Linked DNA regions of Drosophila melanogaster. The protein of the gene in region 1 interacts with the protein of each later gene in a pairwise test. Each region holds a gene or a part of one and is shown in the gene's direction. Other genes may lie near its edges. The genes, in order: CG9784, CkIIalpha-i3, HLH4C and mrj.

Region 1 (8,767 bases):
GCGATTGCTGTGCGGCGGTGTTGCTTCTGTTAAATATTGACTTGGAGCTCTGCAGATTTCCGTAAAATTCTAAATTGCTGTTGCTGTTGTAATGCGACGGACGAAGTCCGTCGTGCCCTTCACCATTGTCGTGGTATTCGTTCATATCGCTCTCGGACTGCGAATCACCGCAACCTCCTGCGGCCGCAGACAGTTCACTTCGTCTTGTTTTTGTCTCAATGACATTGTTGTTGTTATTATTATTATTATTATTGTTGCTAGTATTGTTGTTGGTCCTGCTTATTCTCAGCAAATGATTGAGATGTTCTTCCGAACTCATGGCCGGGCCAGTCCCCGTCTCATCCATGGTAAGATCGCGTCGATGGGTTTGCTTGCCTATGAGCGATGGTCGCTTGTGGTTAGGAAGGCTGGATAGGCTGTTGTTGTAGCTGGTAGCGGTGCTGCTGCCTCCGAAAGGTATGTTCAGTGAACGGCGGATGCTAAAATGATTTAAATGATTGCCTTATAATTTTCACTAAGGTTTTCTTCTTTTTCGTCTTGGCAATAGCCTGGCTATGCAACGCCCAAATTTGAGTTTGTTTGAAACGAGCTCTAAGGTAGTTATCTTTTTGAATTCCATATTAACACTTTTAGTAAGCATGACTGCAGTAACATACCTGTGTGGCAGATCCCCGGTGCTTCCCTCGGCAGCTTCGTTGCCCGTGAAAAAGTTGTACGCGGGTTCGCGCTGCCGTTGACTACCATACAAATTGAGGTGATTGCGCCGATGTGGCGCAATGTGGCTGACGCCCTTGTACATCTGGGAGCTGGAGGAGCTGGTGGCAGCCGCGAGCGGAGCAGCAGGCGTGGATGACAAAAGGGGCAGACGACGCATGTTCGGCAAATTGACGGGGGTCTCCAGCTGAAAGGGATTCAAGATTAGTTGGGAAATGTAGACAGGATTGAAGATGTGATCTTACCTCCAGGCGTCGACGCTTGGTCTGCACGGCGGCGGACTGTTGGAGATTCTCCTGCTCTTCATCGTCATCCTCCTCATCGCCATCCTCGTCGTCCTCTTCCAGTTCATCCTCCTCGGCCTCATCCTCGTCACCGCCGGCAGCTGCAACAGCCCCGGCTCGCTTGCGCAGCAGGAACACATTGTACTCGCTCCGCCGCGTCTGTTCATCCTCGGCGGCCAGGTCGTGTTCGGCTATGTTGTCGGCCAGGGCCACCTCCTCATAGTTGAGGCCTTTGGCATCGGAGCCGTCATCAAGATCATCGGCTGCATCGGCATCCACTTCGGCTAGCATTATCCGACGGCGTCCTCGTTTCCGCTTGGTAGTGAGGCGTCCATTGGACTGGCGTGGCTGTGACTGGCGGAGATTAGCTGGGGAGGATAAGGCATCGTTCCCATCTTTGGACGACGGCGAAAACCAACCGCTCAAGGAGGCGGGCAGAATGCTGGACACGCGCATCTTCATCTTCCCCATGATGGACTGCAATTGCAATTGCACGGAAGTTGGATATTTGATGGGAACCAAGTTATCGTCGACTGTACTTACGTTGTTGCTGTCAGACTCCCGTAGGGCTCCCGCCGAGGATTCATCCTCTTCCTCCTCCTCCTCCTCGCTTTCTTCAGGCAGCTCCTTGAGCGGCGTCAGCGGATGCTTTTTGGCCAATTCGGCTTGCGAGGATTCCCTTTGCTCCTGTGCATCCTCCATTATGCCGCTTTAGATTCAGACTCACCTTTTTAGCCGGCGAAGCAACGGCACAAAAGAGAGATGCAAAAAAAACGCGAAAAAGAAGCGTTGCCGCACACACAACAAAAAACGTAAGTAAAAAAAAAAACCAAAAAAAAAGCACACACTGTTGCAATTCCTGCGAGCTAGTTTGTATGTGTAGGTGCGGATAATGTTCGCTCACTCGCTTCGTTCTCACTCTCTATCCTGCCTTCTCTCTCTGTCTGTGCGTGTGCAAAGGTGTGAGTGCGCTTACGCACGCCGTCGTGGTTTTTTTTGTTCGCGTTTCGCCGAGGTTTTACACACGCCGCGATATTTTTAAATAATATTCTGTTTGGCGCCACAAACTGGTCGCGTTTGATCAGGATTTGACTTCTTGGCCACCAATGAAGAGCAAATTCTGGGCACAAGCACTGCAAAATTAGAGGCGGGAAAAAGGATTGAATACCGAATTCGGGCGAAGCGCTCGAGGTTCTTGCTTTTGGCTTTGCCCTTACCGCTTTCCAGCATGCCGCCCGTTTTCTTCAATATTTGTTTTACTTTTGCCGGATAGATTTGATATATATTTGATATATTTTCACCTTCCTTTTGTCTTTGTGCTTCTTCCACTTCTTCCGCACACACTGCTTTCGCAATTCTTCGTTCCTCTTCTTCACGCTCTGCTCACACACACACGCGCGCAGCGATTCGGTACGAATTTTGGCGTTTTACCGCCGCGAAATCCACACTTTTAATTGCAATTTAACATTTGCCGCTGGTCGCATTCAGGTTTTCCATTGTTGCACGAGAACACGCACCACCGATTTGCAAGAAACAGAATTTCAAAAGAGCACGATTTGATTGGGGAAAAAACGCGTGTGTGGCCACAAAGTAGAGCTGGAACCAAAATCGATGTTTGTCAGATACTATCGGCGTGTCGGGCAGCGTGTGCTAATCGATACGTTGCCTGCAGCTATCGGTTACATGCACGTTTACGGTTTGGAAGTCTGTAATTATTAAATATTTTTAATTGGTGATGAACTGCCATACGGGCTTATTACTCAAGAACCGCTTCAAGTGCGACTTATAACATATGTAACCATTTGCTTGTGTTGTCATTTGAATACTAAGCATTTGCATTGACTAAAAGGAATTCTCGTTTGTATCTTTAAGTTGGAGTGAGGTATTTGTTTAGGTTTTTACTTGGCTGTGTGATAATGCAAAAGTTTAAATACTGTACTAATGTTAATCGATAGTTGTCCTAAAAAGAATTTCCAGCGAGTTAAAATTCAGCGAGTGCTAGAGTGACCACAGATTCTGCATTAGAAATAAAGCAAATATAATAAACGAACATAATATGAGCGCCAAATATAAAAGCCCTTATTAAGGTGCAAATATGACAAAGAAATTATACAGTATAAATGTTAAATAAATCTTAAAAAATGGGTTATAGGGGAAACCATATTGTTTTGGTTCAATTTTAGCAAGCCATTTTAAAACAACTTGAATTTACTACTAGATGAATCAAATATGTTACCTCTTAACGTCTAAGAAATTTACATTTTTAGGGCTGGAAAATAAATACCGCTAGTCGATATCGTCATCTTCTCAGTTTTGCCATCCCTAGTTGTTGTTATTGTGTTCGTCGTGTTGTTGTAGCACAGTTGTTGTTGTTGCTGCTGCTGGGCAAACAAGTGTTAAAAACTATTTGTGCTGCAATATTTTCAGCAATTACCGACCGCCCTCGCCGCTGTTCACCACCCAACTTAACCAGCAACCCAGATTGGAGCAACAAAATCCACAAAGGCATAAAGAATCGACTTACACAATAAAACCTTAATCGGTTGGGTAAACAACTTGATTGCTGTGAGCAGCCAGTTGGGTTAATCTCTTCGATTTGTCAAGTCCAGCAACAATGAGCCAAACGGAGGCTAGCAAGACACCCAAGATTCCGGACTCGGAGCCGGACGGATCGAAGGGCAAAGGGAAGCAACAGCTGGAAACTTACCGGGTATATGTGGTCACCTGGAATGTGGGCAGTCGATTTCCGGATAACATATCCCTCCGCCATCTGCTGGGACTGCAGGATGTGACGGTGGATAAGGACACGAAGGAGACTAATGCCCACTTGCCGGACATCTATGCGTTGGGGCTCCAGGAGGTCAATGCCCAGCCGCAGCAACAGGTGTTGGGACTGTTCAAGGAGGATCCGTGGACGCACAAGGCTAAGGAACTGCTACGCAACTACGACTATGTGGCCGTAAAGACCGAGCAGATGCAGGGGCTGCTGCTCAGCATGTTCGTGAGGCGGCAGCACGTTGAGCACTTGCAGGACATCGAGGCGGAGTTCACGAGGACCGGTTTCGGTGGCATTTGGGGCAACAAGGGCGCCGTCAGTGTCAGGTTCACCCTTTACGGCTGCGGACTGGCCTTTGTGGTGGCCCATCTGACTGCCCATGACCATATGATGGACGAGCGCATCGAGGACTACAAGCAGATACTGGAGAACCATCACTACCACGTCAAGCGGTATAGGGAGATCTACGATCACGACTATGTCTTCTGGTTTGGCGATCTGAACTTCCGACTGCAGGGCAGCGATTCCTCGACGGAAGTGCGCGAGTTGGTACGCGATGAGTCCCAGCACGAGGCCCTTATCCAGCGGGATCAATTGTATCAAGTTCGCGAGAAGTCGCAGCTGGCCTTTCAGGTTCTGCAGGAGCGACTGCCCGCCTTTCCGCCCACCTTCAAGTTCCGCGAGGGCACCTCCGAGTACGACCTGAAGCGGCGGCCAGCCTGGACGGATCGGATAATGTACGCCGTGCAGCCACTGAACCGGCAGCCCGGCATGCAGCTATCCATTGAGCAATGCTCGTATAAGTCCCATCCCCTGTACACCATCAGTGATCACAAGCCGGTGACCAGTGACTTTACCATCAAGCTCTACCCGAATGTACGGGCGCCCGGCGTGGTGTTCTCGCCTCTGTCGCTCTGGAAGATTGGGGACGAGAACACGGTGGAGTATCACAAGCAGGCAGAGTTCGACGAGGGGTCCAACGACTGGATTGGCATCTTTCCGTCGGAGTACGCCAGTTTGGCGGATTACGTAGCCTACGAGTATGTCAATCAGGCTGAGTCGCCCTCATCCTCGGACTCCAATCACCAACCGGATCCGTTTGAGACGCCCTCGCATCATCGAAGGGGTCGGCATCATCACAGGAATCGCCAGCGACAGCGTCGCCATCAGGAGGCTAATGCCCAAGAGTTGGTGCGGCTAGATTTCGCCGACGATGTGGAACTGCGTCACGGCGAGCAATACCTGTTGATATATTTCCGCAGCACCGGAGTCCGGGGCGTGACCAGTTTGGCCGGCGTCAGTGGTGTCTTTGTGGCGGAGAAGCGGCACGGCTCGCCCCATCGGACGGAGTACCATGTTGACTAGCTAGCCGAGGCTCTGGATATCTTTATTCTTTAGTCTCTGTTTCCATAACCGCCGTGTTGATCTAATTTTATTGACCTCATGTGACCGTGTTAAGTTTGCTTGTTAGCTGTTGACTCAGCGCCTCCTCTCCTCTCCCCCCCTCCAAAATACGTTAATACATACATATGTAATTATACATAATTATCGAACCAATAATATTTGTGTTTACTACCAATTCCACCTATTCCCGCCCTGAATGAATCCCGCTTTTTCGTTTGCATACATATGTTCTATTTGCTCTGCTGTCATTTTGTTATTTTTATTTGTACGGTGTCATGGCACTAGATATTTGTATTTAACCGGTTTGTCAAAAGGTTAATTACGCCACATTCACTGTCACACATCTACACTATGACACACCCTGTTGCCAGTAACAGGCAAAAACTTATTGATGAGAGCCAGGTGAGAGCTCTAAGCCAAAATGGGCAGAAACCGGAGTCTGAAAAGTGATATTTTTGAATGCCTCTCAAGTGAAATATATAGAGAAAAGGTATTATATTGAATAGAGTAGCAAAGTATGAATATAATTTTATCTTCATTTAACTACTATTTAATGTAGGCAAATTGTATTTAATTTTTTGAATAACAAAAAAGAGAAAAGTGAACTTTTTAACCATGATTCTAAACCAACCAGCTCAACTTACGAAAGATTTTTAATGTTTTAAACAAAAAGAAAAGGTTTTTCTCCGGAAACGTAGACTTTTATAAAGCGGCATGCGATGTTTTTTCCATTATCTGATTGGTATATAATCTATAAAATTTATATAAGGATAGTTTAGATAAGAACTGCACCTTAACGATAGCTGCAACCCAAGTAGACCACCAAGCAGAAAATTCAAGCAATCTGCATTGACTTCCCCCACCCACCGTACAGTGGGTCAATGGAAATCCGAACTGGCGCAGCCCTTGCCCACTCCCACTAATTGGCAATGTTTTGATGACTGACTGACTAACTGGTGGAACGTACAGTGGGCCGTAAAAGTCTGTGGTGCCCACCGTACTCGAACGATCGAATGGTGTAAACATTTTCGAGCCCATCTATGGTCCGAAAACCAAGAAGACAGAGAGCATTAATTTATGCGGGCCCGGTCAATTGAAATTCGTGTGGCTTAGTAACCTTCAGCAACTATTAGATAACTATATTACCCTCATACCAGTGGACACTTAACCAATGTATGTGTATGGGTGTGCATTTACCCACCTACCTATAAACATATAAATATATATATATATATACATACATACAGTCGTATGCCTTATCAAAGTGAACATTAATCAATTTACTTAATCGAATGAAAACGTTTACAATTGTGTAGTATTTTATGAGTACATAGGACAATTTCATGTTGGATTTCAGTTAATGATCAGTCGAATTAAGTGTGTAATGACTATATAAACCAAACATAAAGCATAATGCAAATCAAACGCCTCAATCACTTCGAATACATTGCCCTTGCACTTGAATTATCGTAATTTCTATTTAACTTTTCAAAACAGCATCTTTATAAAGCATCAATACAAATTATATCTAGTGAAAATATATAAAAAAAAATAAACCTTTAATAATAGAAATTATTAGAATTTTCACTTTTCTTGCCAACTTCTCACTCCGCCTTCACCTGGCCTCGTGTCCAACTACCAGTGATGTACTTCAGGTAATAGGCCCTCCAGTTAAGTCCGGTGAGGCAGTCAGTGTGCTAGATAAACTTGAGTTAGTCGATTTTGACGTTAGGTTCTTCATTTTTGCTAATTTGAAACTTGTGTCGGTTAGCTCAACGAGGGATTTTTGAGAAAACTATGGGTTAGCGAGTTGTTGGAATCGTGTTGTTCAGGGTAGAAAGTATTGACGGTGACGCACATGATCCATTTACGCCGGTAAACCAAGAGTTTTGCGCACCAGCCGTCGGGCGATGGCGTTGAACTCATCCCTCTGTTCGCGCCACATAATTGCTGCATCCACATTAGCGCCGCTCTCATCGTTGGGTTCTGTGGGCAAAAATGAACGACATCAGTTTGAACTTAAGGAATGAACAAGTGAAGTGAACTATCGGCATGATCAACCATATAATCTAGTGAACAAATGAACTTGGAAGTAGATACCCCCGTTGGAATTGCCCTTAAGACTTTATTGTGACTTTTTTCTTACCCGCCAGCATGCTGACCACACTAAGCAAAATCTTCTCCACGCTCTGGACAGGACTCCAGCGCTCCGCGGATAGCTCGTAGCCCATGGGATCGTCGCCGGGTGCGTGTAGTATTGATATGCAGACCCGCCCGTCGGCGAATATGTTGGGATGGAACATGTCACAAGTGAATTTCATTTTAGGCGGACTCAGAGGATAGTCGGTCGGAAAGATGAGCCGGGCAGGAAACACTCCGCCCTCGAAACAAGTGCCCTCAGGTCCGCTGCAAAGGGCAAAGTGCAATTAATGGGTTAATCTGTCCACATCTGTCCGATCCGTGTCGATCGTTCGGGGATCTTAACTCACGCAATCAGTGCCTCCCACTCGAAGAAGTTGTCCTCGCTGATGGGGCCGGCCACAATGCCCTCGGGCGGGTCAAGTGTTAACTCTGGAGATGATCGGAGCGGTGGTAAGGGAAAGCTGTTGCTGCCCTGTGGACTTTCGACTCACGTTTGTATTCCGCCATCAGGCGGCGCAGTGCGGACCCAGCCATCCTAAATGCGCTCGATGGTAATGATGATGGTTCAGTTCACGGGCTCCTTCTCCCCACTGTGACCACTTCCTTTGAGTTTCCTTCAGCTGCTTCTCCGTTTCCTGTCCACCTGCTCCTGCACCTGCTACACCCGAATGGGGTCCTTGCTTGTTTTGGCGGCAATCGCGAACTTTCCAGATCCTCGGGCACGGGTCAAAATACAGACACGTCGTAATATAATAAACACAAACGGTGTTCCGTGTTTATTTATATCGAATGAATCGAGTGGCTTTCTATAAAAATATATCTGTACTGAGTGAATTTAACAAGAGTAATCGATTCGATTCGATAACGTCGGCTATCGTTGTTTTAGTATTTCACACCTTCAAACTACCTTATTAAATTAATTATTTGTTTGCTTCTTAAACCATTATTGATGGACACTTTTAGTTGTAAAATTTAAAATTATTTTTTTGTTTTATATCATTTGAATTTTTGGTTCGATTGCAAGCCAGTGTTTTTCAAAGTTGGGATATCGATGACATCGATAGTGAAACGCAAACATCGATAAGTCGCTGCCCGAGTCGATATTATTTATGTATTTGTTGTAAAACAAAAAGAGCGCGATTTTGTGCAAAAAATCGCATATAATAAGATGCACATCAAGCAGGTGAGTGTTGAAATGACGGCCATGCTCCTGGCCACCCATTGGACACCGAAGATCTGAAATCCACCCGTTAATTCCAGATTATTATACAAGGCTTCAAGAGTTACAAGGACCAGACGGTGGTGGAACCATTCGACAAGCGCCATAACGTTGTTGTTGGACGTAATGGCTCCGGGAAGAGCAACTTCTTCTACGGTTAGTATCAGCTCCAGCCTGCCTGTTCAGCTAACCATATTTAATCGACCCTAATGCTATCCCATCCACTTT
Region 2 (7,014 bases), on another chromosome or scaffold:
ACCGATCTGGTCTACTGTGGACCTCGGATAATTTGGATTTGGCTTAGGACTTACACAGAGAAAAATGAGTATCCTGAAAGAAGCTGCATATTTTATAGCCATGTCGTAGATTTTAGTTATATTCCGATTATTTTCAGTGCTTGGGTGAGATGTAAGCCATAAAAGAACAACTCACCAGTCAGTTGTTTAACGATCTCACCTTGGCTTCCACGGTGCGACTTGGGGATTTGTGGCCCAAAGGCAGCGCCACACATTTAAGCGAAATGAATTTGAAATCCGCCTGCACGAAGTGCAATTTTCAACCAGTCGGCCCGAAAGCCTTATTACTGTGGGAGCTGTTCAAAATAATGAAGCCATTGCCATGGGCAGACCGTCAAAATATATAGGGTCCAAAGCGGCCCCGAACCATTGTCAATCATATTCGAGAGTCTATTTTCCCACATTGCATGCCCCACTGATCGCGTTTTGGTCCAACTCTTCATGGGAAAATCAGTGAGCTGGCTTCGCCTAGTTGCGCAACAATTATTTGGCTCTGGTTTCAGGCCTTTATTTGTAAGGGTCGTCTGTAGGGACGGTCCACACACCTTAAACGAGGTTGCGCTCCGCTGAACCCCCTACCAAAACATTGTTAAAAGTCACATGCCGGGGTTGTAACTACTGACTGCTTTACGAACTACCGAGTTAGCCCTTCACGGTTATTATCTAGGCCAAAACGGAAGTGCGCTTCTCGAGATATTCTAACCAAGTTTTTCACACATCCACCTCGGTGCGCAGGTGTTTCTAGAAAAAAAGTGCCAATTGTGCATATGTAAATTCCCTTTTTATTTGTGGCGGAAATTAAATTTAGGAGACGCTCGATTGGGTTGATACGGAAAATTGGGCATAGATAGTCCACGATAGGACTTAGCCTTTTTGACTAACTTTTTTCTTACCTAAAACTTACAGATTAGTTTATAAAAGATTATAATAGAAATCACTGATAATCTTATATAATTTGCTTAACAAATTTATTACTACAAAAATCAATATTGGTTTATTAAACTTTTTTTTACTGTGTATACTCGAGTATACGGTACCCGGTTATTTTACATTTATACTACTGCGCCCCTATCGACGAACTGTTTGGGCGACATCTAGCGTCTGTAAATGAAAGTCGCATTGCCGGTAGATGGCAGCACAGTAATAGTTATGTGCTTATTTGTAATGTATGTAGGTCCATTTCAATATTAACTTTCTATAATTAAGTTGCGGGAGGTCTCAACCTGCGGCAAGTACTCACTAAATCCTTACTGCGAGATTTTTAAATTCAAAAACTACATAATGGCAATTAAATGAGGCTAAGATGAGTATTTATATAAAATAAATGTTCTCTTCGGTAGCGAGTATTGATATAGATTAGGCAAAAAATCCATTTTCAAAAAACGAAAGCCTATTCCCATCTTTGTTTCGTGCAACCTTTTCGATAGTTATCGATAGAGAAAAATCGAAACACATATGTTTGGATCATGATACCTTTCTCTTACGCCGTCCGAAAGAACTGGCAGCCTGGGAAACAAAACTTATTCGTCATCAACTGAATAGCTATTGTAAACAATGGATACAAAGTGTGAGTAAAAAACATAAATTCAAGAAGAAAACTATATATATACTCACAATAAGCCAGCTTACGAAAGGAAGTGGTGTACATCCAACACCCGACTTTTATTGTCCCTTTACAATGAACGCCAAGCTGATTTTCGGGATCCGAAAAAAAAGATCAAGGACATTTGGGGGGAAATGGTCGTTGCCCTTGAAAGCCAGGGAATGACAGATATCGATGCAGTTCAGCTGGATCGAAAATTTAGGAACCTGAAGAAGACCTACTATAGCATAAGGAGCAAGCTCCTGGCGAAGGTACCGCATTTCCATCCAAACTGGCAGTTCTACGACGAGATGTCCGAAATTCTAAAGGATGACCCTGTCCCACCGCCGCAGGAACTTTCCATCAATGATTTCGATGAAGCGGTGGTCAGTTTGGAGACCGGTATCCAGAAAGGCAGGATGCTGTCTATGGGCACCACTGTCAGCACAGTTATTCCCCGCCAAATGCGTACGTATCGCAAACGAAAGCAGCCATTGGATGATGTCGATATCAAGATCCAGAAGGACTACGAAGTGCAAACGGATCGGCAGCGGGATGGGGAACAGTTTACAGTCTTTAATGCCGCCGAACCCAATACTAATGATTTGTCAGAGTCTGCGGCCGAGATCTCCATCAGCAACGACGAAGAGGCATTGAGACACCTAAGAGCGCTCCAGGAGTACGCCATGATCCATGATAATTTCAGGGCCATAGGACTGCTAATACAGGTGGAGCACGCCATTCAATATCCAGCCCAGATCAAGGACTTCGAGGTGGATCAAACGTAGTGTCCTTATAAACAAGCACGTAATCTACTGGAAAAGCAAAGATAAGATAAGGCACATACCTAATTTATACCTCTATATTTAAGATTTTAATATTTTATAATATATATACTTTAATTTACTTTATTTAAATATGGTTCATGCACTTGCTAACACCACTGAAAAATGAATCTGGTTCTAAACAAATCTGGCTTGGGTATTGGCTAAAATATTGCGCTGTGGCAATACCGTTTTCTAAAACCTATAGTTACAACAATCTAAAGGAATTTCACAAGAAAAACCAACATTTCTGAAATCTTATTAGTATTTTGAAGAGTAACAAAGTGAATCCTGCCGAGATCAACGCCGATCTGTAAGCAAGTTCGTCTTGGAAATTGACAAAAACCGAAAAATCTGGCAGCACCAATATGACACTAAAGGTTCAAGAAAAGACCTTCGGTTGCACAAAATAGAAAATTCAAACATAATTGAAAAGAATTAACTAGTATCGTGAAAACATGTAATACAGTTAATAAAAAGTTATAGTATTATGCAATATTGATCAAATGAAGCAAACTTTATCGATAACTTCGAAATTGCAACCCTAAATGCATCGGATGGGCAATACCAATCTGAAGTCTACAAAAAAGCATATTGTGGAAGTCTAAGTTTTGTTAAATTTATGGAAAAGGAATCCAATTTATCGGACAACTTGCAGTCCCGGTTATTTGCACTGGGTCCTGCCCCGCCAGGATTTCGTCCACCGGATGCTACCGCCTTTGCCACAGCGGAGTCAAATCTTCGTAATGCCATCCGCTACCTTAATGATACCTATGGCGAGCTCGATCAGCTGCGCACTGTCATCCAGAAGGAGAAGAATAACTCGAAGCGTACGTCCTACAAGGCGCAGTCCATGATGCTTGCCATGCAAGTGATACGTTTCAAAGGACTTATTGGGAAGTACAGGGACATTCTGATTGGCCTGCAGGATGCCGAAATCATCAAGGTCAAACAATACATAGAGCAAATGGTGGAGATGAGGAACAAAATCCAGGCAAAGACCGATCCCACACAGCGCGAGTTCCAAGTGGGCAGCTCAATCTCACTGGTGCAGGAACAGCGCAAGACCAAGAGAATCTGCCGCAGGTGGCGGGATCGCCTGGTCCAGCTGACGGAGGCCAAGATGGACAAAACTGAGCAACTTACTGAGAAACCAAAGCTGATCAATGTAAGAACCGTTACAAAAGAACTTATACATATTTTCATTGCGCTTCCAATATCCATCCATGTTTTCATGAAAACTCTCATCGAATTCTGATCGAATTTCGACTGAACTCGATATGCTTTTTTAGAAACCTAGAAATATGTTAAATGCAAAAACCAACAAGTGGAAGGAAGCTGTAAGCTTGGTGAGTATAGCCAAACATATAAAGGATAAGTTAAATGCTAGTAAATATAAAACTAATCCTAGCAACAAAGCGGTCTAATTAAAAGTGGCTGTAAGAGGTGTGAATACCTAAGAAAGCTGACTAAGAATCGTCCATCCAAACTTTGTAAGGTGTGTAAAAAATGGTCTGATGATGAAAAAGCAAAAGCGGCAGGAAATAAGAAAGCCAACAAAACGCCAATAATGGTATGACACTATTGAAAAGTCGCAACATAAATTAATACTATTATTGCAGGCGAAGTCGAAAAAATTAGAAGTACGCGTGCGTACGGATTCTGAAGAAGCTATAATTAAAATAGAGATAGAGGTGGGTGTGTACAAGTAGATCAACAGTAACATTAGCACTTATTATTAATTTTCTTAGCATGGTGAATTTACCGATGAAGAGGAAATTGGGTCATTGGAAAAGGAAACGACCTTAAAAGATGAGATCAAGGAGGTTAGTTGTTTCTTCAACCTGAAAAATGTGTTTAATTTTGGAATGTTTTTTTTTAGACTGTTGAATCTCACGACACGGCAGCAGTTGAGGTAAGTAAACAGGTCCTTGGACTGTAATAGAACTAACGTAACGATAAATGACTCAATGACAGGAGGAAAATGAGACCAGTCAAGACGATGTGGACCCCAAAGTAGTCGCTTCCTTACAAAATTCACTGAAATCCATCGACTGTAAAAATATGGCCTTGGCCTACGTGAAGGTCTTACAGGAGTACGCCATGTTAAATGATAACTATCGGGCCATTGGACTACTTACTGAAGTTGAAAAATCAGTTTTAAATCCGCCTCAGAACGAGGATTTCGATCTATGATCTTATTGACGCCACAAAAATAAAGTTTAGTTTTTATATGTAATCTACAATTAAAATGTTCGTGTGTCCTGCCTTTGAGAGTCAAGACCCAAAATGTGTAAATAATTGTAATATGCGAAAAGAGTTTATAGAGTGGAATAACCAACAGGGTCCCACTTAAATGTGGTAAACGTTAAATTAAGCACTAGATATAATTTGAGCAAAAATAGCTTTATATATATGTATGTGTACATATCAAACCAGTTTCAGCTCAGATTAGGTGGTAATGCGATTTGTGTTTTTCGGCATGTTAAACCAGTTATAGCTGCTTTAGCGAGAGAATATTTACTCTCGATCCGAAAATAAATCCCATACCGCGAACGAATACCACCACGATCGGAATCGGAACGTGGGAAGTCGGTTTAGATCGCGAGAGAAAGAGCGGAATGTCTCTCGCAAAGATACGGTTTTTGCCGCTCCGCCAAACGGAGGAGAGTCCAGATCTCTGCAATGTTCGGACCGCATGCTCAGTCATTGAGTTGCACTCGCTCTGGCAACTTTAAACACGTGCGACCGCACATATTTTCTGTTTAATGTGCCTAAAAAACTGCTGTATATTTTCAACAAAGTGTACTTTATGCTCTAAGCTTTCCGACTGAGGTATGTAAACAAGATTTCTAGCTCTTCTCTGTATAATAACTATTTCGTTTTAATTTCATTGTTAAAGGAACAGAATTATATTGGTCACGTGAGGAGGGGGGGCCAGACTGGGAGTGCGAGCACGCTAAGAGAGAGTGGAGAACCTGAAAGTGTGAGAGCGGGAGTGGAAATGTACTCTGACGTAAGTATACTTTCGTAGTGAGTAAGTGAGAGTGCAATGCTTCGTTTTAGTAAAATCTTTTGAAATTTGTTATCTCTGAGCTAAAATATGCGAGACCCATTTGCGAATAAGAAGAGGGCATGTTTTGTAAATATACATACATAAATATGTATAAGGCATTCATGATATACACGCATACAGATAATTTGAGTTCTGTATCAATAACATACATGTAACTAAGCCTAGAAATCGGATTTTATAAAGAAATAAACCATGATTCAATTTCAGAATGATGACACCCACAAAAACTCGAATGGATCGCATCGCATACGGAACGTGCTGACTTTGGAGGAGCGTGTGGCTGCCATCCGACAGTACGACATTGTGCCCATGTACAGTAAGATTGCGAGGAACTTTAATTGCAGCTGGGAGCAAATCAAGAGCATAGTCTCCAATCGGGAAGCCATCCTGGAGTTCCACAAGGCCACCAATCGGCTCAGCCAGCCGGCCAATAAGGATGCCGAGCTGCGCCGGCGCAAGCTGAACTTTCTGGGCCACTGCCTGTACGAGTACATCCAGAGGGCCCAGTTTTACCTCCACAGCGATGTGAACGAGGAGATGATCCGCAACCGTGCGATCGAGTTCCGGGATCTCATGCAACTCGATGGTTTTGTGCCGAACAAACCGTGGATCAATCACTTCAAGGCCGCCTATAATATAACACTGTCGAATCGTCAGATCACGATAGTCCGCCGACCACCACGATCTATGGACTTGAGGGACATTATGTCGTACTGTGGACGACACACCTCGATGTCTTGTAGCTTAGCGCCTAGATCGCCGGAACCTGCGCTCACTAGCAGTGATCGACCTCTTTATCGTACAAAGACATTGGTCACCACCTCTAGCCAAAATCAAGCCACCTCGGATGAAGTGCACCTGCGTAGAAAGCGAAAGTTAGCGTTCCTGGAGAAATGCGTTTATGAGTACATCCAGCGATCACAGTTGGTTCGCCAGGGTCGTCTTGACCTAGACAATTTGCGCTTTGTGGCCATTAGTTTAAGGGACATCCTCAAAATCGACTCCTTCTTTCCCGACAAAGTGTGGTTGAAGCACTTTAAGAGTCGCTATAACTTTAATTTCACGGTGGGAGTTCAGGTGACGAACCGCCGCTTGCCGCTTTCCCTGGACCTAAGAGATATAGTTAGTTATTGCGGCCGGAATGAACATAAGATCACGCTGGACCACAAGAAGTCGCAGGAAGAACTGAGCCAGAGCGACAAGCCAGAGGTGGACCAATGCCCACAGGTGGAACCAAAACCCGAAGAATTTGAGCACGAAGAAGACGATGATTGCGTGGCCATTGAAGTGCCACCTGAGCTCATAGAAATAAAGGATGATGAGGATAATGACGATGAGCATAATGATAATGAGGATTTGCCAGAAAGGGCTACTAAACGAAAATCAGACGAGAACGGCGGCCCAATACCATGTGGCTTGAAGATTCAGAAGATTCAATCGCTCAATGAGTCATTGCCTGAGGATACGGAACTACTTCCAGCCAATAGTCCCGG
Region 3 (7,529 bases), about 12 Mb from region 1:
CAGGGCATGGGATACTCAAAGTTGTCGTGATGCGGCGGCGGCACAATCGTGGGCAGATTGTGCTGCAGTGCCTCGCAAAGTATTGAATCGAATACGAGATAGGGTCGTGGTATATGCTTCTCCGCCCAATTGTCCTGCCGCAACTTGCGTATCTGCGCCCACAGGCAGTCCAAGTACTCCTCCTGTGGATGCGGAGCGTCTGAGGACCACACCCTCAGCGCATTATGGTGCTTCTTTGAGCGTTTGTTTAGATAGACCTCGATCCTAAGCAACAGGGACTCCAGGGCAGACTCCTTCTTCTCGTAGAGATCGCGACCCACCCAGGGTAGCGTGGAGAGCACAGCAAAGACGAACCAATCGCGACGCACCTGGGGCACTGTATCCTCGTTGGAGACATCGATCATGGTGTCCAGCAGCTGGAGGAGACTGGTGGCCGAAATGACGTGGCAATTGACCAGGTCGGCCAGAAAGCGCAGCGAGTAGCGGGCGGCATCCCAGCGGCACATCTTGAGGGACTCCTTGAAGGTCTTCACCATGTGATCCACGAACTCGCCGCCAAACTTGTAGTTCTTGGCATTGAGCAGGCCCACCAACGTGGTGTAAACGGTACACTTCTCTGGCATTCGCACGGCGCAGTCGGACAGGATGCGCAGGATCTTCAGGCGAAACGTGCCCAGATCGGCCTCCAGAACGGAGACGAGTCCCTCTAGGTTCGATTCCACGGAGGAGGTGCTACGCTCGCCCACCCGCAGTATCAGCGACTCCAGACGATCCTCGATCTCCTGGTTTTCGGACACACGTCTACGCTTGTTGCGCCGATGATCTGCAATTAAATGCCCCCATAAATGCTTTGCGTTCATGATTACATCGATGCCCACTTACCATAGCCCTCATCCTCCGTGTCGTGAGCCCTCCTGCGACTCATCTTCCCGTGAATTTTCTGTGAATTTTGCGGAAAACACCGATTACCGATTGGTCCTTGGCCACCGGCAGACAGAAAAGCACGCTGATGGGTACACCTCTTGGACCTGGACTTTTTCGGGGATCCTGGACAGGATACGCTTGACGGATGGGCCTTGTTGGTGCGTCTAGTATTTCACTGCGAGCGTCAATTAGCTTGCCAACTTTCAAAACAGCTTTGTCACAATTTTCACAAAAAACGCGATGCGATGCTATTTTTTTTTTTTGCCAAAGAACTAAAGATGTGCCGCCATCGATGGCAGGGTTTATCGATAACAGCGGCGGCGTAAGCGGCGGACTGAAAATGGGGCCTGAATAAACGTTTTCTTTGGCGCCATATGCGCAGAATTGCGGCATACTCAATTAACCAAAACATACCACTGACTGACTTACAATAAAAATCTGTTGAATGCCACTGCTACACAACTATCGATAGAAACGGTTGCCGGCAAGTGCTGCAATCTAGTCTTATGCTGCCTATCGCTTTTGCCCATCTATACATTCCACCGCGGAATTTTCCTTGCATTTTATGATGAGCTTTCCACGCATGTTATCACTGTGCCTTAGCGTGCTTGTAATACTGCCGCTTCCCCTCCAGTCGGTGGATCCCCTGACCATTGGTGCCGTTGGCGCCGTGGCCCTTGGGGCGTACTTCAAAGAACATACATATTGCCGGTTTGCCGAATGCTGCGATGACCGAAACATTCCGGCGAGAATAGATGGTGAGTGAGTAGTTTTGTATGCAACAAAATGACTAACCAGTACAGTGGGTAATTACAGAATTAGAAAGATCCCTGGAACGCACCCTCATTGGCCAGCACATCGTGAGGCAGCATATCGTCCCCGCACTGAAGGCGCACATCGCTTCGGGCAATAAGTCACGGAAACCGCTGGTCATCAGCTTTCACGGCCAGCCCGGTACGGGCAAGAATTTTGTGGCTGAGCAAATTGCAGATGCTATGTATTTGAAGGGCTCCAGGTCGAACTATGTAACCAAGTATCTCGGACAAGCTGACTTTCCCAAGGAAAGTGAGGTGTCTAACTATAGGGTGAAAATCAATAATGCGGTGCGCGATACCTTGCGTAGCTGCCCGAGATCTTTGTTCATCTTCGACGAGGTGGATAAAATGCCCAGCGGAGTATTCGACCAGCTCACCTCGCTGGTGGACTACAACGCCTTTGTCGATGGCACGGATAACACAAAGGCAATCTTCATCTTTCTCTCGAACACGGCGGGCAGTCATATAGCCAGTCATCTGGGTAGTGTGATGAAGAATGGTAGGCTGCGCGAGGACACACGACTGAGTGACTTTGAGCCCCTTTTGCGGAAGGCCGCCTATAACATGGATGGCGGTATGAAAAAGACCACCATGATTGAGTCTCATGTTATCGATCATTTCATTCCGTTCCTGCCGATGGAGAAGGCGCATGTGATCAAGTGCCTGGAGGCGGAGCTTTTAAGGTGGCGGCGCGATCCTAAGCAAGCGAACAACCAAAAAATCATTGAGGACATAATAAACTCCTCCATTAGTTACGATCGCACGCACAGCTTGTTCGCCATTTCGGGCTGCAAGACGCTGGAGAAGAAGGTGGCCATGGCCATTTACTGAGAAAGGACCGACCGACTCCACATTTTAATGCTTAGTTTGGGTTTCGGTTTGTATTTAAAAAACTATTTTTTCGGAATAAAGAAAACAAATTTTAACTACCAGGGATTTAGCCACTTGAGGCGGGCATCTTTGCGCAGCAGATCGGTATCCAGTCGCTTGGGCTGCTCGTCGTAATCCTGGCGAGCCGCCAGGCGGGTATCGATGGGTCCCAGGTCCTTGGTTACCAGGCACTCGCCGTTCTCCTTGAGTATCGTATGCCGGACATCCTGGGCAGTGGGCTCTCCGTAGGGGAACGTGACCGGCGTAACCTTAATTAGATGCTTGATCTTCCACAGGCGGGCATTGTTCTCCGGTATGTTCTTGACGACAGTAAAATCGCTCTGCTTTCCGTCTAGTCCCAGATCTTTGAGGATTCGATTCTCCCAGTAGGGATTGCCCTTTAGCGGCTTGATGCGCTGCACCCGGAAAAGTTTCGCCGGCTCCACGGGTGGATCCTGGTGATCGGGAGTCCTGAGCGGGATAGATTTAGCATTAACAAATGCTGGATTTCGTGTGTTTTCCTTTTATACACTGCACACGTGAATACGAACCTGGGATAGTAGGTGATACCCTCAAATTTCTGGCCATTTTTGTAGAGGAACTTCTTGTTGTGCTTTCCGTAGCTGCGCACCGAACATGCGGTGCTCCTCAGTGGATTCAGCAGCCTTCCCAGGTTCATCTTAATTGTTTTCCCCCCTTTGTAATAAAATTAAATGCAAAACGCTTATGAAATAATTGATGTTTCCCCGACGATAACGATTACACAGACATCTGGTTAACTAGTTGCCTATCGATGGGCAGCATGGATACTGCCGTTATGTAAACCAATGTTAACCGCTTGCTGTTAAGCGATACAATTCAAATGCAAAGGCGGCAAAGTTAAAAGTGATAATTTATCATGTACAAACTGAAGATAATTTATCATTTACAAACTGAAGATAGCGAAAACATTATCAATAAGATGGTAATATATATTCGTTGTTTTTTTTTTTAATATTTCAAGAATTAGTTGAGAAAAGAAAGTTTTTAGGTCATCGGATTACACAGCCTCCAGGGGATGATGTCCATTTCTGGAAAGGGGCGGTCTCATATCAAAATCTCCGCCATTTTGTCAGCTACAATTGGCGCTAATCGACGAGGGTGGATAACTTGGCATTGGCTGGCTTTCAACGCAATGGGGTTGTTTCCGATTTTGGTTATAAAGGAGGCTGCAGCTTCCCGACCGGAAGTCAGTTCCACGTGAGCATCCATCCGGCGAGCAACCGACTCTAGTGGCAAGCAAGGATATCTGCCAGACAACTCAAGGATCTAGAATAACTCTGCACCTGTGATAACTGCTGTAAGTTCAGGCAACAAAGCCCAAAAATTGTGAGCAATGCAAATGAAGTGAATGTACTAGCGAGTAGAATAATCAAATTAAAGATACAAATAGCTGAATGAAGTCTCTAGTTCGTTTAAAATTATATCTAGAAATTTGTTAATTAGCTAACTTGACCATGTGCACGCACTCGACATGTGTAAGTGTACTGGAGTTTCATAGTCTTGAGGGGACTTGAGTTACACGACAAGTTCTTAAAACTAGATCGGATTTCCATCATCCCATGGGATCAATAGACACGTCTTCGACTTGATGCAATTCCAGTGACACTTTTTGGACCCAAAACCCATTAAATCAATAGATATAAAATCATACGTTAACCGCAACAATACAAAAAAGGGTGGCCAAGCCTAAGGGGTTGGCATCGCTGAGGTTTGCCAACTCCCGCGGGCAAATAAACGTGCCGATTGTTCAGCTATTTGTGTAGGTGTGAAAATATGCTGCGAATAAACAATACACGCACAATGCCGACAATAAGCACAATAAGTACAATAAAAATAAATGAAAATAATAGCAAACGCAAACAGAATGCAGCGAAAAAGGGGTGTGTCCTTCATCGGCAAGGACGACACACACACACACGGACACCCTTCATCACAAATGTCCACAAATGAAGCATAAATAATTCGAGTGCAAGGATTATGATTTCTTCAACGCCTATTGTAACCTTTTTTTTTTCAATAGCATGAGCGCTCCACCGCAAAGGTAGCCACACTTTTCGTCTTCCTTGAGTTTGAAATGCAGATCTGTGAAGCAATCAAGTACACATTTCGTTGTATTCATAGTCTAAGCTGTGCATCCTCTTGCTTCCATTTCCATTTCCAGCATTCAGCAGCAGGCTGGGCAGCGCAAGAAAGTCCAGTGTCCAGCACCGAAATCAGTGGTGCAAATAGCCAGAGAATGGTCTACGATATGAGCCATATGGCGGCGGGTCCGCCGCAAAGCATTTCGCTTAGTCGCTACTATCTGGTCGACGATGATGAGATGATTGGGCCAAATAATCCGCATCTGGTCAACGAGGACTATGCGGCCAGTACGACGCTGGATATCGATAAGCGTTTTCAGGCGCGAATGGCGTGCGAAACGGCCGCACAACCGGCACCGCCACCGCCGCCCACGCCGGCGCCACGTCGCCGGACCACGCCCATTGCCCATTTGGATCCATCGGAATTGGTGGGTCTATCGCGGGAGGAGCGGCGTCGTCGCAGGCGAGCGACACTCAAATACCGAACGGCACATGCGACGCGGGAGCGTATACGGGTGGAGGCATTCAATGTTTCCTTTGCCGAGCTGCGCAAGCTGTTGCCCACATTGCCGCCGGACAAGAAGCTTTCCAAGATCGAGATCCTCAAGCTGGCCATCTGCTACATTGCCTATTTGAATCATGTGCTGGAGACGCCCTGAGATAGCGCCGGCGCCTCCAGTTTCGCCACCAGCTGCCTCTTTAACGAGGCCAATTTTTTCGCCCCCCCGTAGGAGGTGGGGGGGCGTGGCGGGCGGATTTAGGGGGAAAACATTGCGAATATTCCACATCCGATAAACGCATTTCACCATGCTCTGTAATCCGCACATCGCTCCATTGGATACTTTGCCGGTGGCGGCTATGGATAATGCGATTATCGAATTAGCCATCTCACCAACTTAACCGAAGTGTTCGATGGATTTTGCCGATTTGCTAACCTATTTAACCTATGGTTAAATACATACATTTTTTTGTTTTTTGTTTTTTTTTTTCCTTGCCACTGTTGAAAGACAAATGCCCGTCGTTTCGTTTCGATTCGTTTTTTTTTTTAGGCTTAGGTTTGTTTTCGTAGAAACAATTGTAAAGCCACGATTTAACCTAAGGTTAAAATATGCCCGTACTAAATGTAGAAGATATAAGCTATTAGTTTGTGTAATTTAATTGAAAAGTAGAAATATCGAAGGAAATAACAAAACTAAATATGCCAGTAGTACATACAATTAAATTTATGGGAAAGCAGTGCTTAATCCTCGGAGTAAACCTTGATCATGGTTTATATAATATAAATAACCAAGAAAAAAAAAACAGAACCTTAAACTAAGATCCATTTTTTGTCTAGCCTTTAAGTCGTGATATTTGTTTATACTCAAACGATTAATATATACAGCATTGTAATCGCAATAAAAAATTGTCTACTTTATGTATTTTGGCGCGCCTTTGCACGACACTCCCCTCGACTTTTGGACACCAGCTGCTCTGACTGAGTTTTCCATTTGTCTGAACGCTTTGCTCGGAAAAGCCAGATGCTAACAGTTCCCCCTTTTTCACCAACCTTCAAGAACCACGTATCCACGTATCAAAAGCGGGCGTGTCCTTTGCGCCAAGCCCCGCCCATTTGTGTAAAAGCGAAGTAGAGCAGCCTCTGTCATAATTTTCAAAAATTGAGGATACATTTTTATTTTTTTGTTTTAGAAACTGTGAAAGCGTCACGGAAATTTCGACTTTTGTGCAAAATTTCGAAATGGCCCTTCATTTTAGTGCACAGCAGGTAAGACAAATTTATTCTAGTCGATTGGGAGGCTGTTTTCAATATCCATAAATAGTGGCCTAATTTGGTTGGTACGGGTAACGGGTATATATATATATACATATATATATATTTGTGTGGATCCATGGATGTAAACATTTTCGCAATAATAATAACAACAAACGTGGCAATGGCAACCAACTCGATTCGGCGCCATCCTTTTCTATCCAGTGAAAAACGACTCCTGCATTCCGACAATCGGCTGTTTGTCCCTGTATGGGTGCTATTTTCATGGGTGTGGGTGTACTGGCGTTCATAAACAAAAACAAAGGCCAGGCGACAAGGAAGTTTTGTTGTGTGCATATTTTAGTTTTTACCAGTTATATATTTTATTCTTTATTTATATTTTTATATATTTTAAATTAACTCATTTTGAATGGCATGTGTTTCCTTTGCTCGAATTTTAAACTTTTGTTTATTTATTTTTGAAAATATATGTCGGGTGTTTTCTTGTTTTTGAGTGTCGTACGCATAACGTTACCGCTACCGCTCCGTTACCGTTTCCGCTCCCATAACCGTTTGAGCTCGCTTTTTCATTTCCTCCCCGCCCACCGCCCACCGCCCACCGCCCACCGCCGCCTTTGCACATTTGCAAATAGCGACAGTTAAAGTTTATTTACTTGGTAACGGTTACTTTGGACCAGAACCTTTGCCACGCAACTCGTTTTTGGGAGTCCACAGCTATTCGCCATATACACACACAATCGCAACGGAATCGGTTAACTGCGGTGGTGACGGAATTTCGAAAAGAATCTATTCGAATCGCACTCGAGAATCAATCGAAACGCCTGGCGTTAATGGTTTACCAATTGGCCAGGGCGACAGCTGTTCGGCCAGCGGAAATTGAAATTGGAAAAATTGAATGGAGCATTGAAAGAAGCAGAAGCAGGAGGCGGAGCACAATCCACAGGATACAGGAGCTTTGGACCAAAGGATAGTCGGCGGCAGAGCGTGAAATTAGCTTAAGTGCTTGTCGCCTCGACCAGGACACAC
Region 4 (7,756 bases), on another chromosome or scaffold:
CGTTATTGACGAATCCAAACGATTGCAATACCATTATCCAATCCTCCAACGCATTTTGTCAAACCACTCATCAGGCAAAATGCATTCAGGAAGAAAAGGAAGTAGGCGAATTCTCCGCTCTAATTGTTGCCAACGAGTCGGGCCTCAATCTCAACCAGAATCTGCTTCATGGCAACGAGAGTTATCACATCTGTCTCACGCAACCAGCAGCCATCGATTGGAACAGTGCATCCTGCGAGGTGCGACACGTAAATAGCTGCATCTATGGTGCTGGCAAGTTCTGGCTGTTCGTATGCCTGCTCTGCATTGGAATCGTTGGCTTCAACGTGACAAACTCCATATCCGATGCCTGTTGCTTTGACCTTCTGGGCGATGAGGAGCAGGAAAAGTACGGAGCACAACGAGTGTGGGGCACCATTGGTTTTGGAGCCACTGCCATGCTAGCCGGAATCGTAGTGAACTGGTGGACCACGGATGCGGTCAAAAGTCTGACGCCTGCCTTGATCATCATGTGCGTGTTCAGTTTGCTCGATCTGTTCAGTGTGTCCAAGCTGAAGCTGCCGAAACTGGGTGGTTCCGAGTCCATCTGGAGCGATGTTTGGCAATTGGTGCGCAAGCCACCCATTCTGGTCTTTCTGTTCTTCGCCACAATGGCTGGCATCATTGACTCCTTCATCATATACTTTATGTTCTGGCACTTGGAGCAGGTGGCCGAGGCCACTGGTTACATGCATCAGATCAAGTTGATCGAAGGTCTAGTGGTGGCCGCCGAGTGTCTGGCCGGCGAGGTGCCCTTTTTCTTCTACAGCGGAAAGATTATCAAAAAACTGGGCTATGTTCATTGCATGAGCATGTGCTTTTTCTTCTACGCTGTGCGACTGTCGCTGATCGCCTGGATTCCCAATCCCTGGTATCTGGTGGGCGTGGAGCTCTTTTTCCAGGGCATTACCTATGCTCTGTGCTATACGTGCATTGTGGCCTACGCCTCGGCGGTGGCTCCTCCGGGAACATCGGCCACCGTTCAAGGATTGATGGCCGGCATGGACGATGGACTTGGCTTCTCCATCGGATCCCTAATCGGCGGACTTATGTTCAAAAGCCTGGGCGGACGAGAGAGCTTCAAATACTTTGCCATAGCCGCCATTTGCACATGCGTAGCACACATCGTTATACGTCCCACATCCAGGAAGAGGCAATTCCTGCCGAGACAGGGATATGTGCCGCCAACGGAACAGGAGATCAAGCAGCCGCCCGCTCAGGAAATGGAGGAGATTCGTTTGGGATAAACATAGTATCAACACATGCCATTTTTATTGCATATTTTTGTACTAATTTTTTACGTTAAACAAAAACAAAGAAAGAACGACAAGTTGTCCAAAAGTTGAATGACTTTGCTCTCTCGGGGTTTTTGTTCGATTGTTGGCGCACACGCGATCTCAAGTGCTCCGGCCCCTCCAGCTGTCAACATGGTTATATAATACCTGAGCATCGCACAAAAGAACCCATTGAAAGTGAATCTGGGGCCAGGCAGATGCCTCGCTTAAATGGCGAGCGATTCCCACTCCATATATTAACGAAACTGGCCCGATCGGCCTGTTTCAATGATCGAGAATTGAAAGTCTGACACTCATCTGCATGTTTGGGATTTAAGTTAAGTTAGAGAATTGTAGTTTTAGTTCTACACCCTAAAATAACCATATATCTACTGATTTCTCAGAGCAATAGCCTTTCCGAAATAGCTCCAACAAAATAAAAGAATTGGAGATGGTTATGACTTCCAATCTTTGTCGCCTAGTGTTGATAATTTATGCTCGAGTGTGGGCCACACTTCAGAGCTGTCCAAATGAGTGCTTGTAAAAATTAGATTGGGCCAAGTTGTGCTCCGAATCTCGCAGCAAACTGGATGGCTATATAAGCCACGAGTTACCATTAGAAGCCTGCATTGTTTCTGGAAGATGTGGCCCATTTGGCTGCTGGTGCTCTTAACGCTATCACTGGCCACTGGCCGCCAGGTGGGCAGATGCAGTTTGGCCCGGCAGCTGTATCGATACGGAATGGCTTACAACGAGCTACCCGATTGGCTGTGCCTCGTGGAGGGCGAGAGCTCGTTCAACACAAAAGCCATCAATCCCTCGAACGTTGATGGATCCGTGGACTGGGGTCTCTTCCAGATCAACGATCGTTACTGGTGCAAGCCGGCGGATGGTCGTCCATCCAACGATCTGTGTCGCTTGCCCTGCCGCCTGCTGTTGAGCGACGATATCCGGTATTCCATTGCCTGTGCGAAGTACATCAGGAAACAGCAAGGATTCTCCGCCTGGGTGGCTTGGAACAATCGATGTCAGGGTGTCAAGCCCAATGTGAATCACTGCTTCCGGCGGCGACACAGAAATTCGGGTTGAGCATCGGTAAAAAGCTAAAAAAAATACGAAACTTAAGAACCTAAATGCAGAATAAAATATTATAATATTAAAGAGCAATATATTTTATGAGTATGAGCATTAAAAGAGCGAACAATTGTGGTGCGATATATCATCTGGTAAACAAGAATAGAAAAAACTGGTCTATACCTTTTTACCTTCAATTTATATTCAAAACTAACCGCCAAGCTAATAAAATTAAATATAATGTAAAATGTAAGTCAACATGTAGAAAACATGTCCAAAGGGATGTAGCTAAACACGTTATCTTACCGATGACATTTTTGAATTTCGGCTCGGAACCAGTTCGATTGGCAGAGCTAGTTGCTCCCCTCCCTGGGTCAAATCGATAGCCAGGCGACTGATAGTTGTCGCTGCGTTTTATCGCTTAAGTAAAACAGCTGTGGGAAAAGCGCGCTTGGCCAAAAGCAAAGTGGCGGTTGAATAATTTGTTTCTCGACCAACGAGCGCACGGATGCGTGCAGACTGACGGGTAATAAAGTGCAGTTAAATACTAAATTCAAAGTACTAAATACTGCTAAAGAAAACCAAAAATAGCGAAGCAGTAGATAAAAATACAAAAAGTGAAGTTGACATTGAAGTCGCTTCGTATGTGTGTGTGTGTGAGTGCTTAAAACTTGTGCTGGTGTGCGAAATTCTTTTGTGCTCCGTTTTGTTGTGCATTAAATAATCTCGATATAAGCTGAAAACCGAGTTTCAAATGCAAACGGCACGCTTCGTGTTCGAATAGTTGTTTTGTAAAAAATCAATAAAGCGCCGTAATTGTCGCCGTTCTGTAGTTGTTGTTGCTGCTGCTTGCTGCGACAGGAGTTTCCGCCAACAACTCGCGTCGTTCTCGCTCTCACCAACAGCTCTCTCTCTCTCTCTTTCCCCACGCGGCGTTGCTTATCTTATTTGCTCACACTTATTTCTTGTTTTACTATATCTCATGTTGGATTCGCATTTGTTAGATACTTCTAATGAAATTAATTGTTCGCTTGTTTTTCGGTTAGGCACCAAAGGAAAGAGATCATTTCCAGGTAAGCAACCAAAGCAAAAGAATAAGCGTAATACCAAATAATAAACAATCTAAGCACCGAGCGCAAACAGAGAAATGCGGAATTTAACAAGTTCAATAATCGAAAGTGCCTCTATTGTGCTCTCTGTTACACGCACGCACGCGGACGTATGCTAATTACAACGGTTCATTGCTCTGCTCATCGAGATTTTGACATATTGTTGCTGTCCCCCTTTGACATGTGGCGGCGTGTTTCCTCAAAAGATACTGCAGCTGCCTCTGCGATACCGTTAAACCCGTTTCTGACTCAAAATGCCAATTGTTTTTCGTTAACGCTTACTTTAATTTGCCTTTTTTGGCCAACTCGCAATTTGCCTGTCCCGCAGCTCTCTCAAATTTGTTGCAATTAAAAATTGATTTTCCGTTTGCCAAGTCAGCTTGTAAATAACAACAATAACAGCCAAAAATTGGTTACTGCAACAATGAAAAAGCAATTTTCCGTATCTACTACAAAAAAAAGAAACTAAAAAAAACGTTCAAAACTCAGTCAAGGCATTGTGCCCGTTTTATTGTTGCTGCTATTCGCTTGCCACACGTTTTGCGGCAGGCTATTGTCGTTGTTGCTGTTGCTTCCAGTACATGTTGCAATTCTGGGCATGCCTAATTTTCGGTTTAACAAAAGTTAAGTACTCTGGCTCTTTGAGCTTTTGCCCGTCGTTAACAAAACCGTTTTCCCTCCTTTTTCTTTTCTCTTATTTCTTTCTACATAAGCACAAACATCAACAATTGACAACTTGGGGCAACGAAAAGCAACGGCCATAAAAAAGTCTCGAATTATTTCGTAGCGTGTCCGATTGGCATCAATTGGTGGCGCTAGGCAATTGCAAAGAAATAAAGCACACTAGAAAAGCAAAAACAAACATAAATACATACAATTACCGAAAGCAATAGACTTGAAGACTGCTCAATATATGTGGAAAATCAATTATCAATTATTTTAAGCAGTAAAAAAAAAGTACTCTTCCCATACCGGGAATCGAACCCGGGCCTTCTGGGTGAAAGCCAGATATCCTAGCCACTAGACCATATGGGAGGCTATCTGTGTTGTAGCAAAGACTCGTTTTGTTCGCCAACATGAATGAATGCCTTGTGTTTATTTGTTTATTTTGCTTAACCCAGGAAAAACTATTAATACAAGAAAATTAAGATATGGAATGAAAACATATACAGAGGTGGTCAAAAGTATTTGAACAACGAGCTTTTTTTTTCAATTGTCAACTAATAACCATTGTCAACTAATTGAAAAAAAAAGCTCGTTGTGGAAATACTTTTGACCACCTCTGTATAATGGTCAGTCAACCCCTTTAACAAAGCCCAAAATTATTAACCCTCTGATGGTAACAAATAAAAAAAAAGCGAAATTAGGCAAAAAAGTTTCCCATACCGGGAATCGAACCCGGGCCTTCCGGGTGAGAGCCGGATATCCTAACCACTAGACAATATGGGACTTGTCTGGAAGGTGACTAAAGTGTGTCCTTAGTCTGCCTCTTAGGACATGTTTTAAAGTCACCACTGTATATTTTCTATTTATAAATTTAAAAATGAACAAGGCATAAAATTCCTTATAAAGTACGTGCACCATTTTTAACAAGGAAAAACTACAAAAACGTTTATATAACTTGGAAGAAAGTAGAACATATCCCATATGGTCTAGTGGCTAGGATATCTGGCTTTCACCCAGAAGGCCCGGGTTCGATTCCCGGTATGGGAAGTATTTTTATTTTATTTATAAGTAAATCAATTACCCTGCTTGAGAATCCCCATCAATCAAGCTCTTCCAGCCATTTCTCTCCCATAGCATCGCACAAAGGCATAAACTGGCTTGGACTTGAAAATCAGACAACAACTCCACTTATTGACCTGCACTTAGAGGCGGTGTAACACGAATCGTGGTTCAAGTGGTGTTTTAATGAGTCTCAGCTGGGTATGATCCGGCTCAACGAACTTCCTCGCTCCCTGCCAACCACTTCCATCATAAGCTGCAGCTGCAACTCAATTTTCCAAGCCCCGACACTCGATGGAAAAAAAACGGCTAATTCATCAAAAGTGTGGCAAAGCCGAGAGCCAAAAAACAGTGAGCCATTGTTGTTGCCCATCACGCCCACTTTTCGCTGGGGCTCGATCCATTTGATGCATGCTGGCAGTCGCTTGCCACTTTCCAAGTCAATTGAAAAACTCGTGTAGCTTTTTATATGCCATCATCTTGAACGAGCTTATGTATCGTATCCAGACATTAGAAGCGCGTGTGAGACATACGATTGAGCAAGAAGCGGAGAAAAAGGCAAAGCGTACAAATTGCCATTTTTTATAGTTTCTAAGTGAGTTTGTATATTTTTTCCCTCAAAGAAAGCCAAGCCCCGACAATCGATGGCAGCGCATGAGAGAAGCAACAAAAAAGACGGTAACTTTTTCGTTTCTGTTGAACGTTCAAGCAACGCCAACGCCGCCTGAGCTTTGTTTTTATTGTTAAACCAGTTGATCAGTTGAGCGACAGCAAGAACGAAAGACGCCAGCTGCTGCTGGCTATATGGTATGGGTATATGGGTATACATCTCCGACTTACCAGCTACGCTGGCTGCATATTAAGCGGCCCCTGCTGCGCGCCTGCGCGTCCAACGACCGCATTGTTGTGAGTTGTCTAAGCTCTGTTTGTTTTGTTTTCAATCCGCATCAGCCAGCCGGACTAGCAGGTAGGAACCAAGTTGTCTCCACTCGGGCTCGATCGTTCAGATGTGCAGGAGGAGTCAACTTAATTGAATTGTTGGGTCAGCCTCGACCGTTTCCGTTCCGCTTCCAGAGGACTTGATTGCTTAACACTATGAAAAAAGAATTTTTAATGACAATATGTGGCCTAACGAAAGAAGTTCAGTATAATGATTGTATTAATATCTTATTCACTTTGTTTTTAATCGCTTACACTATATTTGCTTTAGTTCCATTGTCTTCGCTAGGGTGAGAGTCACAACCTAGTAATGTTAATTGGTAGAAAATGAGAAGGCGACACGACTGATAAAAAAGAAAACTCCAATGAACTCAGTAATGGGGTTTTAGACTTTTAAGTGTGCTTTGTCGTCTATCGCCACCATAAAGGCAATTAACATGCAAACTTTGCCAAACAATCAATCAGCTAAAGGAGCCTCACGCACTCCCCATTTCTTTGTTCAAGTCTCGACTATTTCGTGAGTTGCAGCTGGAAAGAAAAACGTGTAAATTTCGTTTGACAGTTGACAGTAGGAGAAGAAAAAGCTAAAAACAGGCAATGCTCTTTTGGGGAGATGGTCAATGCTCTCGACAGTCCGAAATCGCAGTCGTAGTTTCACTTCACCCATTTAGCATGACAATCAGGCGGCCATAGGATGGGACACTAATACGCGGGGTCATGCATGCATGGTCTGCAGTTGGAATCGACGTACACACCTCTTTTGCTTTGTGTGCTGCAAAAAAAAAAAAAAAATGGCAGGGTTGGGTAAAAAGACAGAAACTCGAACCGTTTTCACTCTTAATTTTCAGTTTAGTGAAAATCCGCTTGGGACACGCCCCAGACTTTGTATCTCCGCCCCAAATAAAAATGAAAAGAAGGGCCCGCAAAGGCCATTGACACACATTTTGGCACGGCTTTGCGTGCTGGTGAGTCCAAGTCCAAGACCGAGGCCAAGATACTGTGGGTTTCTGATCACACCACGACATATGTTGCTATATCTTTCTGAAATTCGGGTGCCGAATATAAAGAAAGTGTTCGAAAAACGATACGATGCCGAAGACGCATGACCAATAAATAAATTGAAATATTTACGCTTCGAAGGAAAGAAAGAATCGCTGCGAAGTCTGTCTGGGAAGACGAACTGGTTTCGGGGGGAAGGCTTAGTTCCAAGTCTGGGTCCCTATAATCGCTTCGTTTGCCTCGGTGAGCCGCAGGCTCCACTACAGATCCACAGCTGCAGCTGTGACCCACTCCCAGTTGTCCATTTAAAGCGGCCAGACGACGCGACGCGGCCTGTAACGTATCTGCGCACATTTATCGCCATCGCAAGCTGGTCAGCCAGCTAGCCAGGCCAGCACTTTTTAGGCATTTTGCGGCAGTGGTTCGCGGGTCTAATGCCAAAAATCAGAAATAAAAATTTCACCTCCGGTCACACGCTTGAGAAGACACACTCGACAGCAACAGTAACGCAAACTGGCGGAATGAAAAGCGCCAAAAGGTATTGTGAAAATTGCAGGCTGGTTAATTAAACAAACTGCGCCCATGGCACATGAAATT

What was found.
Region 2: the proteins of CG9784 (region 1) and CkIIalpha-i3 interact in a two-hybrid assay, tested with the Drosophila melanogaster proteins (one large-scale study listed by BioGRID).
Region 3: the proteins of CG9784 (region 1) and HLH4C interact in a two-hybrid assay, tested with the Drosophila melanogaster proteins (one large-scale study listed by BioGRID).
Region 4: the proteins of CG9784 (region 1) and mrj interact in a two-hybrid assay, tested with the Drosophila melanogaster proteins (one large-scale study listed by BioGRID).

Annotation. Positions count from the first base shown.
Region 1 is NC_004354.4:16,593,088-16,601,854, reverse strand, and holds CG9784 (uncharacterized protein), read left to right. Parts: upstream 1-3,358; 5' UTR 3,359-3,612; coding exon 3,613-5,139; coding exon of another isoform or gene 5,140-5,172; 3' UTR 5,173-6,719; downstream 6,720-8,767. Other genes in the region: Nup153 (nucleoporin 153kD), read right to left, coding at 1-479, 657-901, 960-1,475, 1,542-1,700; Ubc7 (ubiquitin conjugating enzyme 7), read right to left, coding at 7,046-7,164, 7,325-7,584, 7,668-7,749, 7,812-7,854; SMC3 (structural maintenance of chromosomes 3), read left to right, coding at 8,489-8,503, 8,581-8,695.
Region 2 is NT_037436.4:706,337-713,350, reverse strand, and holds CkIIalpha-i3 (CKII-alpha subunit interactor-3), read left to right. Parts: upstream 1-2,989; 5' UTR 2,990-2,993; coding exon 2,994-3,041; exon of another isoform or gene 3,042-3,067; coding exon of another isoform or gene 3,068-3,103; coding exon 3,104-3,613; intron 3,614-3,737; coding exon 3,738-3,794; intron 3,795-3,856; coding exon 3,857-4,018; intron 4,019-4,067; coding exon 4,068-4,139; intron 4,140-4,196; coding exon 4,197-4,271; intron 4,272-4,327; coding exon 4,328-4,360; intron 4,361-4,422; coding exon 4,423-4,641; 3' UTR 4,642-4,750; downstream 4,751-7,014. Other genes in the region: CG13896 (uncharacterized protein), read left to right, coding at 1,594-1,606, 1,664-2,409; CG13895 (uncharacterized protein), read left to right, coding at 5,450-5,461, 5,652-5,672, 5,729-7,014.
Region 3 is NC_004354.4:4,643,726-4,651,254, reverse strand, and holds HLH4C (helix loop helix protein 4C), read left to right. Parts: upstream 1-3,840; 5' UTR 3,841-3,948; intron 3,949-4,812; 5' UTR 4,813-4,887; coding exon 4,888-5,391; coding exon of another isoform or gene 5,392-5,463; 3' UTR 5,464-6,128; downstream 6,129-7,529. Other genes in the region: Cbp80 (cap binding protein 80), read right to left, coding at 1-823, 883-925; torsin, read left to right, coding at 1,490-1,682, 1,741-2,570; mRpL30 (mitochondrial ribosomal protein L30), read right to left, coding at 2,666-3,080, 3,161-3,288; CG3062 (uncharacterized protein), read left to right, coding at 6,471-6,497.
Region 4 is NT_033778.4:16,216,827-16,224,582, reverse strand, and holds the start of mrj (mrj), read left to right. Parts: upstream 1-2,789; 5' UTR 2,790-2,913; exon of another isoform or gene 2,914-2,947; intron 2,948-3,433; 5' UTR 3,434-3,460; intron 3,461-4,459; exon of another isoform or gene 4,460-4,531; intron 4,532-4,873; exon of another isoform or gene 4,874-4,945; intron 4,946-5,137; exon of another isoform or gene 5,138-5,209; intron 5,210-7,756. Other genes in the region: CG15706 (uncharacterized protein), read left to right, coding at 1-1,286; CG7798 (uncharacterized protein), read left to right, coding at 1,956-2,402.